Tamandua tetradactyla: one gene and its partners. The protein of the gene in region 3 purifies or fractionates together with the protein of the main gene of each other region. This does not show direct contact. Links are inferred from orthologs where the notes say so. Each region holds a gene or a part of one and is shown on either strand. Other genes may lie near its edges. The genes, in order: RUNX2, SIRT7 and UBTF.

Evidence for each region.
Region 1: the proteins of UBTF (region 3) and RUNX2 purify together in Homo sapiens (co-immunoprecipitation; 3 studies listed by BioGRID and IntAct, with this or other methods). This does not show direct contact. The link is inferred for Tamandua tetradactyla from reciprocal best matches to the Homo sapiens genes UBTF and RUNX2.
Region 2: the proteins of UBTF (region 3) and SIRT7 purify together in Homo sapiens (affinity purification with western blotting; 3 studies listed by BioGRID, with this or other methods). This does not show direct contact. The link is inferred for Tamandua tetradactyla from reciprocal best matches to the Homo sapiens genes UBTF and SIRT7.

The regions. Positions count from the first base shown.
Region 1 is NC_135331.1:103,059,115-103,062,859, reverse strand, and holds the start of RUNX2 (runt-related transcription factor 2), read right to left. Parts: upstream 2,378-3,745; 5' UTR 2,265-2,377; exon of another isoform or gene 2,226-2,264; intron 2,063-2,225; 5' UTR 1,998-2,062; coding exon 1,940-1,997; intron 1-1,939. UniProt on the Homo sapiens protein: Transcription factor involved in osteoblastic differentiation and skeletal morphogenesis. Essential for the maturation of osteoblasts and both intramembranous and endochondral ossification.
Region 2 is NC_135332.1:74,097,257-74,101,001, reverse strand, and holds the start of SIRT7 (NAD-dependent protein deacetylase sirtuin-7), read left to right. Parts: upstream 1-1,496; 5' UTR 1,497-1,535; coding exon 1,536-1,628; intron 1,629-1,698; coding exon 1,699-1,836; intron 1,837-2,047; coding exon 2,048-2,152; intron 2,153-3,628; coding exon 3,629-3,699; intron 3,700-3,745. UniProt on the Homo sapiens protein: NAD-dependent protein-lysine deacylase that can act both as a deacetylase or deacylase (desuccinylase, depropionylase, deglutarylase and dedecanoylase), depending on the context. Specifically mediates deacetylation of histone H3 at 'Lys-18' (H3K18Ac).
Region 3 is NC_135332.1:23,273,653-23,277,397, reverse strand, and holds the start of UBTF (nucleolar transcription factor 1), read right to left. Parts: upstream 2,538-3,745; 5' UTR 2,180-2,537; intron 1,861-2,179; exon of another isoform or gene 1,714-1,860; intron 915-1,713; exon of another isoform or gene 845-914; intron 485-844; exon of another isoform or gene 418-484; intron 46-417; exon of another isoform or gene 1-45. UniProt on the Homo sapiens protein: Recognizes the ribosomal RNA gene promoter and activates transcription mediated by RNA polymerase I (Pol I) through cooperative interactions with the transcription factor SL1/TIF-IB complex.

The DNA of each region.
Region 1 (3,745 bases), on a different chromosome or scaffold from region 3:
GAAATCCACTTTTCAGAAGAGGAAGAATTAGTTATAATGTCTAATTAAAAATATGACATGCAATAGAAGGTGATTTTTATCTGCTTATTTCACAATTATTCCTTGTATAGAAACTTGGTCAAGTTTCAGAAATCTTAACTAGAAATGGTTATTAAGGACATCAGGGAAATATAAAACCTCTGATATGATCAAATAAGGAGCATTTTAACATACCGTTTGTGCCAATATTAATAGCTTTACTTCCAATGCTAAAGTATTTCCTTCAAGCTTGTGTTATTTCCTCATCTGGTTAGAAATGTATTTTTGCAAAAGAGTAATATTGTTAAAGAGTAACTTAACTGCTTAATGTACCTGTTCAAGTTATCCCTCTACTAACAATCATTTTAAACAGCTTTTTTTCCTCATCTCTTAGGTAGTAACAGCAAAAGTTCGCATGCATAAGCTGTAATTATAATATGGGGTATAATACAGTCTAGTTATATTTGTTGTACTTTCTTAACTCAGAAATTTTTAGACTAATGCTTAATTACCCACCATGAAGTTTTAAAAACAATCTGTGATTATTATATTGCTGAGGGAGCTCGCTTACAGCTATTGAGGGAGCCACTACAATAATTTTAGATTTTTTTTGCAAAATATAGAGTATATTTCCTCATCCCTTAAGTGAAACTCCCCCCCCTTCAGGTTTAATTATTTCTATTTGACCTAAACTAAGACTGATTCTCAAGTATTAGCCAGTTAAAATGTGTGGAGGAGGAGGAGTAAAGGAAACTCCAATCAATAGTTGTAAGTTACAGAGGTATACACAGCAAAAGGATTTGTTTTAAAGGATAAACAGGATATTTTCAAAACTTGCTTTGTATTTGGAACATGTTGGACATCATAAAGAAAACATTGTAAGTGTTTAGCTATTTTGCTGTGATACTATGTCAACTAGTGAAGGTTGGAGTAGTTTACTTATCTATATCAATACTAACTTGAAATTAATTAAGAGACTGTATTGTTTCTGTTTTCTTTTAAAAGTCCAGCAAAATTAATAAGCATGGCTCTTTAAAATCATGCAGAGTATTCTTATAGAGCTTTATTTTTCATGAAATAAAATGCTATTCATTTTGGTAGGTCTAAGAATGTTACTAAAAGAATCTTAGAAGTTTCAGTATTTGCTATGTGTTTATAACAATTCTACGTATGGATAACAGTGTAAATGTAAAATTAAAATTATATAGGAAAATACAGTTCCATTTTAGTTTTTAGAGACTTCTGTAAACTTAATATCCTAGGCAACTATAAAGAGCTTTTAAAAATGGCTATGATATACTTAGTGCAATTTTATTTTCATTGAATGTATGGTTCAGTTATATAGTTGTTTAGAAACAAACTTGTGCAGATATCTTACTCAGTTTAAAATTATAAATAGAGTTCTTTTAGTTGAGCTGGTTCAAATACTGACTGTATTGTACGTTTATTTCTTTCTCTGTTTTACATAGTAGAGCATAATGTTGGGATAAATCTGTGCTCGGTTATTTTGTAAGATTGCTTCCATTTTGAAGTTTTTGCTCAAATATTGCGAGCTTCTGGAGTCAATAATTTATAATACTTTGATTAATTTCGTGCTTCATTTTATTGCAGAGAGGGTTAAATGAGAATATTAAGCTGTTTCTTTTACTGTTTTAGCATTCTTATTTCTATAGCCCCCAAAACATTTTGATTAATAAAAAATGATTAATTTTTGTCCATTTCAAGTTATTCAGAGAATACAGATGCCATATACAAATATGTACATCAATTTCATTTTCAATTTTTTACTTCAACAGAATAGTATTATTGTTAATATCTTTAATATACTGTTATCCTGAAAAGCTAGCAATTTATCTAAGAAACATACATTTATGTTTAACAGGTTCATCTCTTATAGGATTTTAAAAATGATAACACTTACCCCAAAAGAAGTTTTGCTGACATGGTGTCACTGTGCTGAAGAGGCTGTTTGATGCCATAGTCCCTCCTTTTTTTTCAGATAGAACTTGTACCCTCTGTTGTTAATACTGCTTGCAGCCTTAAACTGGAAATACAAACCATACCCAAACCTTGTTTTAGTTTTACAATATGCCTGGAGTACATAGACTTTATATTTATTTTTTTCTGTCAAAAAATTATGTAGCTGGTAACATGTGAAAAGCAGGGAAACAAAACAAAAAGAATGAGCAAATATTTGAAGGACCTACTATTACTGCATAGACTGTGGTTAGAGAGCACTCACTGACTCTGTTGGTCTCGGTGGCTGGTAGTGACCTGCGGAGATTAACCATTTAAAAACCAGAGACTTCTTGCTGTCCTCCTGGAGAAAGTTTGCACCGCACTTGTGGTTCTGTGGTTGTTTGTGAGGCGAATGAAGCATTCACACAATCCAAAAAAGCAAAAGCTTTAAAACTCCTTTTTTTCCAAGCACTATTACTGGAGAGACAGAATCATGTGGTTTGTGACCTCACAGTACTCAAAGTAAAGTGGGACTGCCTACCACTGTGGCTTTTCCCCCTTGCTCTTGCTCTCCCTCTCTCTCTCTCTCTCTTTCTCTGACAAAAGGCTTGTGGTAAGGCCCTTCCTGGCATCCAAAAGGATATAGCTTTTTAATTTTTGTGACTCATGAGGATTTGGATAGAATACAAATGCTGAAGGAGCCCAAACTCCTGAAGGTTAAGCATTTGTAGAACTGAAGTCTGCAGTTAAGGTCTTTCCTTTCTGTCACCACCCCCATTCCCCCCCTCCTTTTTTTTTTTCTTTTGCCTCTTTCTTTTAGTTCATTATTGTGTCTATGGAAAAATGAGCAAAATTGGGTCAAGTGGCTGTGTGAAATTCTGAACAACAGTGATGATTTACAGTAATTTACATCTTTGGGTTGTATCACGTTCTGGGGTCTGCTTCATATTTGCTGGATGGCTAGAGTTCTTCTGTTTTTCTTTTTCTTGTCTTTTTAAACTTGTGAACCTGTAATTCATTGTAAAAAAATTTACCTTAAGGTCTGGTGGCAAACTGCTTGTTGGGCTGGACTGTAATTGGCTGTCATGAAAGTGTTAGTCTGGGGATTCTTGTACAAATATTAAATCATGTCTCTAGTTTATGTATTATCAGTGTTAGATAGCAGGTCCTACAATAAAGATTTAAAGTATTTTTTATATCTTTTATAATGTATAACTTTTATGTTATGACTAGTTTGAGGGTCTTATACAAATGAATGGCAAGAATTACAGCAGTTTAGTGGATGTCTTCTTTTCCTTTATGATTGTAATAATTCTTAACTTTCAAGGAAATGTGTTCAGTTGTATAATTCTTTAAATAGTTTATTTGGCTATTAACTTTGACAGAGTCTTTGATAAGACATCTTAAATACCTTATAAACATATTAAATAAAATATGTTGTAATTTAGATTGTGTAAGTTCAGGATGGAGTGGGTTAATGGAAAATGTATTTTTTGTTTATAATGGAAGCTTTGAAATAAATTACAAAAAGGTATGTAGTAAAAAATAATGCACACAGACAGAGTATGCTAGTCATCTCAGTTTGCTAATTTTGATCCTGAAAAAAATTGAAAACATATTTGAGATGTTTTTTGCCCGTTTGGACATATGTATAGAACTCATTTTCATTTTCTTATTAGGATGATTATATATCAATGATTTTTATACTTATGAATAGGGCTTCCTGATTTCATCAGTTGTAAGTGATGGGGCATTTTTCAACAAAAAT
Region 2 (3,745 bases), about 51 Mb from region 3:
ACACAGCGAATCGAGGGCTTTGGCTGAGGCCAAGCCACCCATACTTGTTCGCTAAGTAAACCATAACGTGTCTTCCTCTTCACCTTGCCCCTGGGTCAGCTCCCCCCATTATGACAACCTGGACACTCAGATTTCAGAGAAAAACCCAGCAGGAACAGGTCAGCTCCTGCCCAAAGAATATGGCCACAGAGAATCCCCCTGGGTCCCTGGCTGCTGCTCCAGGGTAGGTGCCACCGTGTGTGAAGGTGGGGAGAGTCAGCTGCTCTGAGATAGCTCGGGAGTGGGGTGCTGACTTTTCTCCCCACTTCAGCTTGTCAGCGGCAACCTCCATGGTCTCAGGGCTCAGGCCCATGGCTCTGGTCTCTGCTGTGCTGCTTTGGGATGTGTGCCCATGCCCCATCTATCCCTCTGCCTTCTCTCTGGAGAGACCCAGAGGCTAGTGCTCCCTGTCCCCAGCTGGGAAGCCTCAGCCGCAGCCTGCAGCACCGTTTCCGCTCTAGGATCATGTGAGTTTTTTTTTTTAGGCTGTGGTTTGGTGAAAGGAACCAACGCATTAACGATTTTTTTTCCCCAAAAGCCACTGAATAATTCTCTTTGGCGCCTTTTTTCCCTTCCTCTTGGCTGTCAGTGGTTTGGGAGCAGGTGGGGAGAGTGGAGAACTCATGCAGCGCTGCGCCGAGGCACAGGCATGTTAGCAAAACTGCCATACCTGTCCTGCTTTGGCCTGTGTGTGTCCTGGGTCTGGGCCCAGCCACACAAATGTCCACCGTGCCTGGGCAGCAGCCTTGCTACCTTGGGTGTCCCACGACTCCAAGCTGACTGGCAGAGAGCACATCTCCAACCCACCAGGAGAGCTCCCTGTTCTGGGTGGTCTCAGTTGGGCGTTGGCCCCAATGGTGAGCTCGTGTCCCAGCCTTGTCCTTCTCCCCATCTCTTCCACTCCCTGAAGCCTTGAACCAAACAGGAGTGGGTACTGAAAGCCTCCTCCCAGCTATTGGGACACCAGAACCAGGGCTGCCCAGTGTGTCCAGCTCTGCTGGTCTCCTGGCACTGAGCGGGTGGATTGGGGCGGGTTGAGCAGACTCCACCTGCCCCGCCTAGGGCAGAAGCTGGGAGAGGCTGGAGGCTGGGGGAGTACCCTGGGGTTGGGTGGGTTAAAGTGGGGGGCAGATGTTAAAGATCTAGGGAGGAGGGGGCTAGGCGCCCTGCACCTGGCCCTCGCTGTCGGTGGTCAGGGGCGACCGGGGCAGGCCGGGCCTGGGGTTGGAGGGCCCTGCCTCGTGCAGTATTTATTGCTAAATTATTGTCCAGGAGGGGCGGCACTGGGCCGGCCCCCCGGGTATTTATTGCTGTACATAGTGTATGTTTGTGACATATAAGGTTTTCTTTATTTTGTATATGACCAATAAACACCTTTTAAAAAGAGACTGGCAGGTGCTTCCTTGGGCGGGCGGGGCCGGAAGGGGCGGGGCCTGGCGCGCATGCGTGCGGCCGGGACGAGGCGGAAGCGGAAGCGCGGGCTGCCCCGGGGAGCGATGGCAGCCGGGGGTCTGAGCCGCTCGGAGCGCAAAGCGGCCGAGCGGGTCCGCAGGCTGCGGGAGGAGCAGCAGCGGGAGCGCCTGCGCCAGGTAGGCCCCCACTTGCCCGCGCCCCGCGCCCAGGCCTGCGCGCCCCTCACCGCCCGCCGCCCGCCCGCAGGTGTCACGCATCCTGAGGAAGGCGGTGGCCGAACGCAGCGCCGAGGAGGGTCGGCTGCTGGCCGAGAGCGAGGACCTGGTGACGGAGCTGCAGGGCCGGAGCCGGCGACGCGAGGGCCTCAAGCGGCGGCAGGAGGAGGCGAGTCCCGCGCGGCAGTCGTTCCGAGGGCGCTGTCTGGCCTCGCCGGGGCCAGGGCGCTCTGGGGCTGGGCAACTTTCCGAGCGAGACGCCGGCGGCCTTCGGTCCGGAGCGGTCGTCTGCCCGGAATTCCCTGGCCCCGGCCTTCTGCCCAGGGGTGGGGGATAGTAGCCAAGGACGGGGGCAATGGCCAGCCTCGGCGTCTCCGCAGGTGTGCGATGACCCGGAGGAGCTGCGGAGGAAAGTCCGGGAGTTGGCGGGCGCTGTCCGGAACGCCAAGTACTTGGTCGCCTACACAGGCGCGGGGATCAGCACGGTAGGGAGGCGAGCCGGGGATGGCCGTGCCCTCGGGACGCTCCACGCGCCGCTCCACGCCCGCCCACAGAACCGAGAGGGCCGGGGACTGAGCGCTCCGAGAGTCATGTGACTGCCGGCCCAGAGGCGTGGGTGGGGGGCGCCCCCTCCCCAGGGCCGAGGACGACGGGGAACATAAAACGTCAAGTAGATGAGCACTTAAAAAACTCTGGAACCCTGTGTCGTACCCGTGTAGACAGGAAGGAAACGAGAGGGGCACGGGACCTAAACAGCTTAGTGCATGCAGGCACCGGCCATTTGGAGTTAAGGAGGCTGATCTCCTTCATCCGGGTTCATTGTGTTTCTGAATGTGAAGGAAGGCACAGAGAAAGCCAAACTCAGGATATACTGGGCAAAGAAGAGAAGTGCTTTGAGCTTTGAGAGACTTCATTGAGGCGCCGTCCTGGGTTTTGAAAGTGTGAGTGGCTCCTTGTCCGTCTAACCTGACAATTGTGAGTTGAGTGTAGACCTAGCAGAGAACCTGGAAAACTCATCCTGGCTGGCCTTTTGGGAGAAGCAGCATTGAATCAGAGCCCAGAAGGATGGGTAGGATTGCACAGGTAAAAGTGGGCAGAAAGCACTCCCAACAGGGTTACTAGCAGAGGCCCAGTGGCAAGAGTGCATATGGTATGTGTTCATTGTCCTACCTCAAAAGTACCTGTTGCCCTGGTATCTGGTCACCTCCCTCCGCAGTCACATGTGAAATCCAGTCACGTGATCCCTTGGAGAGACTAACCTTGAAGAGCTGGAAGTGGCACCTATAAACCTTATGCTGCTTCTTGGTTTGAGCATCACCGCTGGAAGTTCCTCTGAAGGCGACAGTCAGAAACACTGGCCAGGGGTGGGGTTTCACTGGGGAAACCCAGAAGCGATGACGCTGGGTTTCCCCTGGCTGGTGCTTCATGGCCCAGGAAGCACCAGCCACCTTGTTCCTGGCACACCTTTTCTTGTCCTATCTCTCAGGATGGGGTTTGCTGGATTGGGCACTGAGAAAATTACATAGCATTTTATTGACTCTGAAGAGATTATTCTGTCATTGTTAAGATGGAGCAGGAGCCACCTAGAGGGCAAAGCATCTGACGATAGGAATTTGAGCAGAAGCATCCTCAGTTAGGGGTTCACCATTTGCACTGGGCTAGGCCCTGGGGACACAGGTGAGCCTGGCCACACCCCCATCCCCCCATCCCCACTTCAGTATCAGCAGTGTGGGAATAGGAAGAGGTTCCCCCACCTGCCAGGGAGGCCTCCAGAAGGAAGGAACTGTGTTAGGGAATATTCCAGTTTGGTCAGGCAGGTCAGACTAGGAAACGCTGGGTCCATGGTATGAACTGGACTGATTCATGGGCCTGCCTGGAGCACGGCAGGAGAAATGCTTACTTCCTTTTCTCCGGAGTCCAGCCTGAACCCACAGTGAACACACTGTTTTCTGAACACACAGGCAGCCTCTATCCCAGATTACCGGGGCCCTAATGGAGTATGGACGCTACTTCAGAAAGGGAGAAGGGTCAGGTAAGCAGGCCCAGGGCGATCCCCACTCTGAAGGGAGGTTGAGTGG
Region 3 (3,745 bases):
CGACCGCGGCGGGAACCGCCGCCTCCTCCCCCGAGCCTGCGGCCCAGCCCTGCCGGCGCCCCCGCCCCGGCCTCCGGGGAGCCGAGCCAAGGAGAGGGCGGGAGGACGGCGGCCGGGAGGCGGGGGCGCAGCGCTCACCGGCCCCGCCGCCCCCTCCGGCGGCCGGCGAGAACTGCGCCTGCCGGCTCGGAGAAGCGCGGGCTCCTACGTTCGCGGCTGGGGCTCGGCTCGGGCCTCGCTTCCTGCCTTCCCCTCCCCCGGCTCTCGGCGTGTCCTCCCCAGTGCCCTGGTCTGCTCTCGCCCAGTCCCCTGCCCGGAGGTCGCCTCGGGTCCCCACCGGGCGCCCCCCGCATCCGCAGCTCGCTCCCCGCTGCTGGGCCCCGACCCCAGCGCGCGTCTTCCGTCCGCCTCAGTTACCCAGCGCAGCGCGGCCTCCGGGCTTCCCGCTCCCGTGGCTCCCTCCCCGGCTCTGAGCGGCGGCGCCCTCCCCCGCTCGGCCGGGCACAGCCGCAGCTCCCTCCCGCGGCGGCAGCGGCTCCTCCTCCGGGCGCGGCGGCGGCGCTGGGGCGGCGGCTGCTCCTGCTGTGGCGGCGGCGGCGGCAGCTTTGGCTGCTGCCTGCTGCTCCTCGCGGCGAAAAGCACAAAGCACAGCGCCCTCCGCCTGCAGGCAGCCCGCCCGCCGCCCGCCCGCCGGCCCCGGCCTCCGCTCGCACACCCCCCGCCGCCGCCGCAGCCTCCGCCGCCGGAGCGGGGAGGAGGAGGGAGAAGGGAGGAGGAGGAGCGGGAGGGGGGGCGGGAGAAGCGGGGCAGCGAGCGCGTCCTTCCCCGTAGAGCGCACACCGACCCCCGGGGAGCGAGCGCCAGCCCGCCTGCCTCGCCGGCTCCACTCCCTCCCACAGCCTGCCCGGGCGGGCTCCGCGGGGGGCAGCTGGGAGGAGGGGCGGGAGCTAGGGGGACCCGGGCGGCCGAGGCGGAGGGAAGGAAGGAGGGGAGGGGGGTGGCGGCGGCGGCGGCTGCTGCTGCTGCTGCTGCTGCCGCCGGAGGGGGGGGGCCGAGGCAGGGAGACACGCAGCCGCCCGGATGGCGGCGGGGCTCGGAGCCGAGGCGGGCGGGCGCGCTGAGAGCGACCTCCCCAGACCCGCGGGGGAACTAGCAGGCTTGGCCGGCGCGGGAGGGAGGGCGCGGCTGCGACGAGGGTGCCCGGAGGGCTCCCCGGCGGCCGGGGACATTCGGTGGTGCCCGTAGCCCTGTTCCGGAGCTCTCCCACCACTCCTCTCAGTTTAGCTCCGGCCTCCCAGGCCAGCCCTCACCCGCTTCCCTCTCCTGCCTCCTGGAACGGGTGGTCCGCGCCCACCCATATCCTCCGCGTGTGGCCGCGGGCTTGGGGCGCAGACTTGCCGATCGCGGCGCCAGCCCGCCTCGCGGTCCCCGCGCTGGCGAGTAGAGCGATATACACTAAACTTTAACAAAATAAAAATCGCCCCCAGGAACGCTCTCCCGCAAAAAAAAAAAAAAAAAATTCCTCTCTACTCCTTACACCCCGGAAACGGCGAGGGGGCGACCGGCTGTGGCCGAGGAGCCGCTCTGGGAGCCGGTTCAATCCAGCCCGGCATGGCTACCCCAGGCCCGCCCGGGCGCATGGAGATCGGCCGCCGCTGCCATTCGCCGCAACCCCTCTTCTCCCGAAATCCCGCGGCGCTGGGGCGCACTCACCGAACGAGTGGATGGGAACGCGGGCCGGGGGCACCTGGGGGCGCGGCGGGCCGAAGAGCCGAGCCGCAGCCGACACCGGAGCAGCGAGTCGCCAGACAAAGCCCGAGATGGCGAAGCGGAGCGACGGCTAATGGCGAGCCCCACGCGCCGCGCTCCGCCCGCCCCGCTCCGCCCGCCCGCCCGCCTCGGCGCAGCGCAGCGCCGCTCCGAGCGCTCGCCCGTCAGAGCCGCCTCGGCGCCGCCGCCTCCCGGGCCACCCCGGCCTCGCCTGGCCCCTCCGCCTCCTCCGGGCGGCTCAGCCTCACCCCTTCCCTCCCACCGTGCTGGGAACTGCACAAAAATTTTAAAAAAAAGAAAGAAAGAAAGAAACATGCTTTTCTTTTCCATTTTCTCTTGCTTTTTTTTTTTACCCGCAGGGCGGGCGTTTTGAGACTTTTGGGTCTTTTTGCCCCCAGCTCGCACTCACCTGCGGAGCCGCCGGTAGGGCTGGGGGTGGGGGCGCACCGGGCTGGAGCCGGCGAGCGCGGGTTGAAAGCTAGCCAAGCTCTGCAGCGCCCGACCCGGGCGTGTACGCTGCCGCCAGTCCCCGCAGAGAAATCGTCCTCCTACCCCCGCCTCCATCGCTCTGCGTTTCTCTTCCAATCAGCCGGTCGCTTGGCGGCTCCTCCATTCTCCGGCCAAGCCCGCTGCCTAGAGCGAGCTCCACTCCATCTGCTTGCCCGGCTCCTCGCTCCCCTGCCGGGGCCGGTGAGGCGGCGTGAGGCCGGAGGCGGATTTGCCAGGGAACCTGCCTCCTTCCCGCTCCCATTGCTCCCTCCCCGCTGCCTCCTGCCTCCTGCTTCTCTCCTGCGTCTTTCCTACTCTCCCCTGTCGCCACTGGTGTGTGCCTGAGTGTGTGCGCGGTTTTTTTTTTTTTTTTTTTTTTTTTATTGCTCTTTGCTTTTGTAACCCTGAAGCCAAAGCTGGGGGTGGGGTGCGAATCAAGGGGGGATTTTACAAAAAAAAAAAAGAAGAAGAAGAAGAAGGAAAAAGGAATGAAACGAAAGACGCTCTTCTCAGATTTACAACACATCGAAAAAACGGGGGAACACCCCGCCTGGTCCGATCTTCGTGCCCTGCAAGGGCCTTCCGGGGTTTAGAGCGAGTCTCTCCTTGTTTTCAACGTCCCCACCTCCGCCGGGTATAGGATCCGAGGAGTCCGACCAAAAAGTTCCCCCCCCTGGGTCGTAGCCAGGGGTGTCACGGGTGGGAGTTGAGGGGGATTTTTCAGAAAGTACCAGCCGTCCCTTCCACCTCGGCTTTGGAGAGCTGGGTCCGGGTGGGCGTGGAGAGCGAAATCCGGACCGGTTTGCACGCAGGGGATTCCGGGGAGAGGTCGGAGCCGCGAGACGGCGCTTCGCGCCTCAACCCTTCGATCTCTGTCTCCTGTCCCTTGGCCAGCTCCCCCTTTAATTTTTTTTTTTCCTAGTCTTTAATCTAATTTCTTCCAACTCCACCTTTGTTGTTACCGGCGTCACGCCTGGACCAGCCAATCCCCGCCACGCAATCAGTTTGTCAAAAAGGCTCGGCCAGCCCTGGGAAAGCAGGCCGCAGGCGCTGCCCCCCGGCGACTGAGAGCCGCGAGGGGAGCCGGGCACCCCGGCCTCGCTGTTAGAGCCGCCGCGGGGCAGCCTCCGCGTGGGTCTCCCGCACCCCACCAGCCTGGGCCTGGGTATGGAAAGGCCTGGGCGGGGACCACCAGCCAACCCCATTGCCGTCGGCTATGGTTGTCAGTCTCTGCCTCCCTTTCTCAGTGGAAGGGTTATCGGATGGGAGCCAGAAGACAGTCTGAAGGACTCCTGCTTGCAACAGGCCAGCGGCCTGTGGTTCGAGCGCTCGCGCCCGGGGCAGCGCCATCGCTCCTGGCTCGCGGGGCTGCCGGGTCTCCCACCGGCACTGCTCCTACCCACATCGCGGCCAGCTGGGTCGCCAGCCCCTTTGGACTCTTGCCTGGCACACTGTCTTCTCCCTCCTCACACATGGCCTCGCCGCT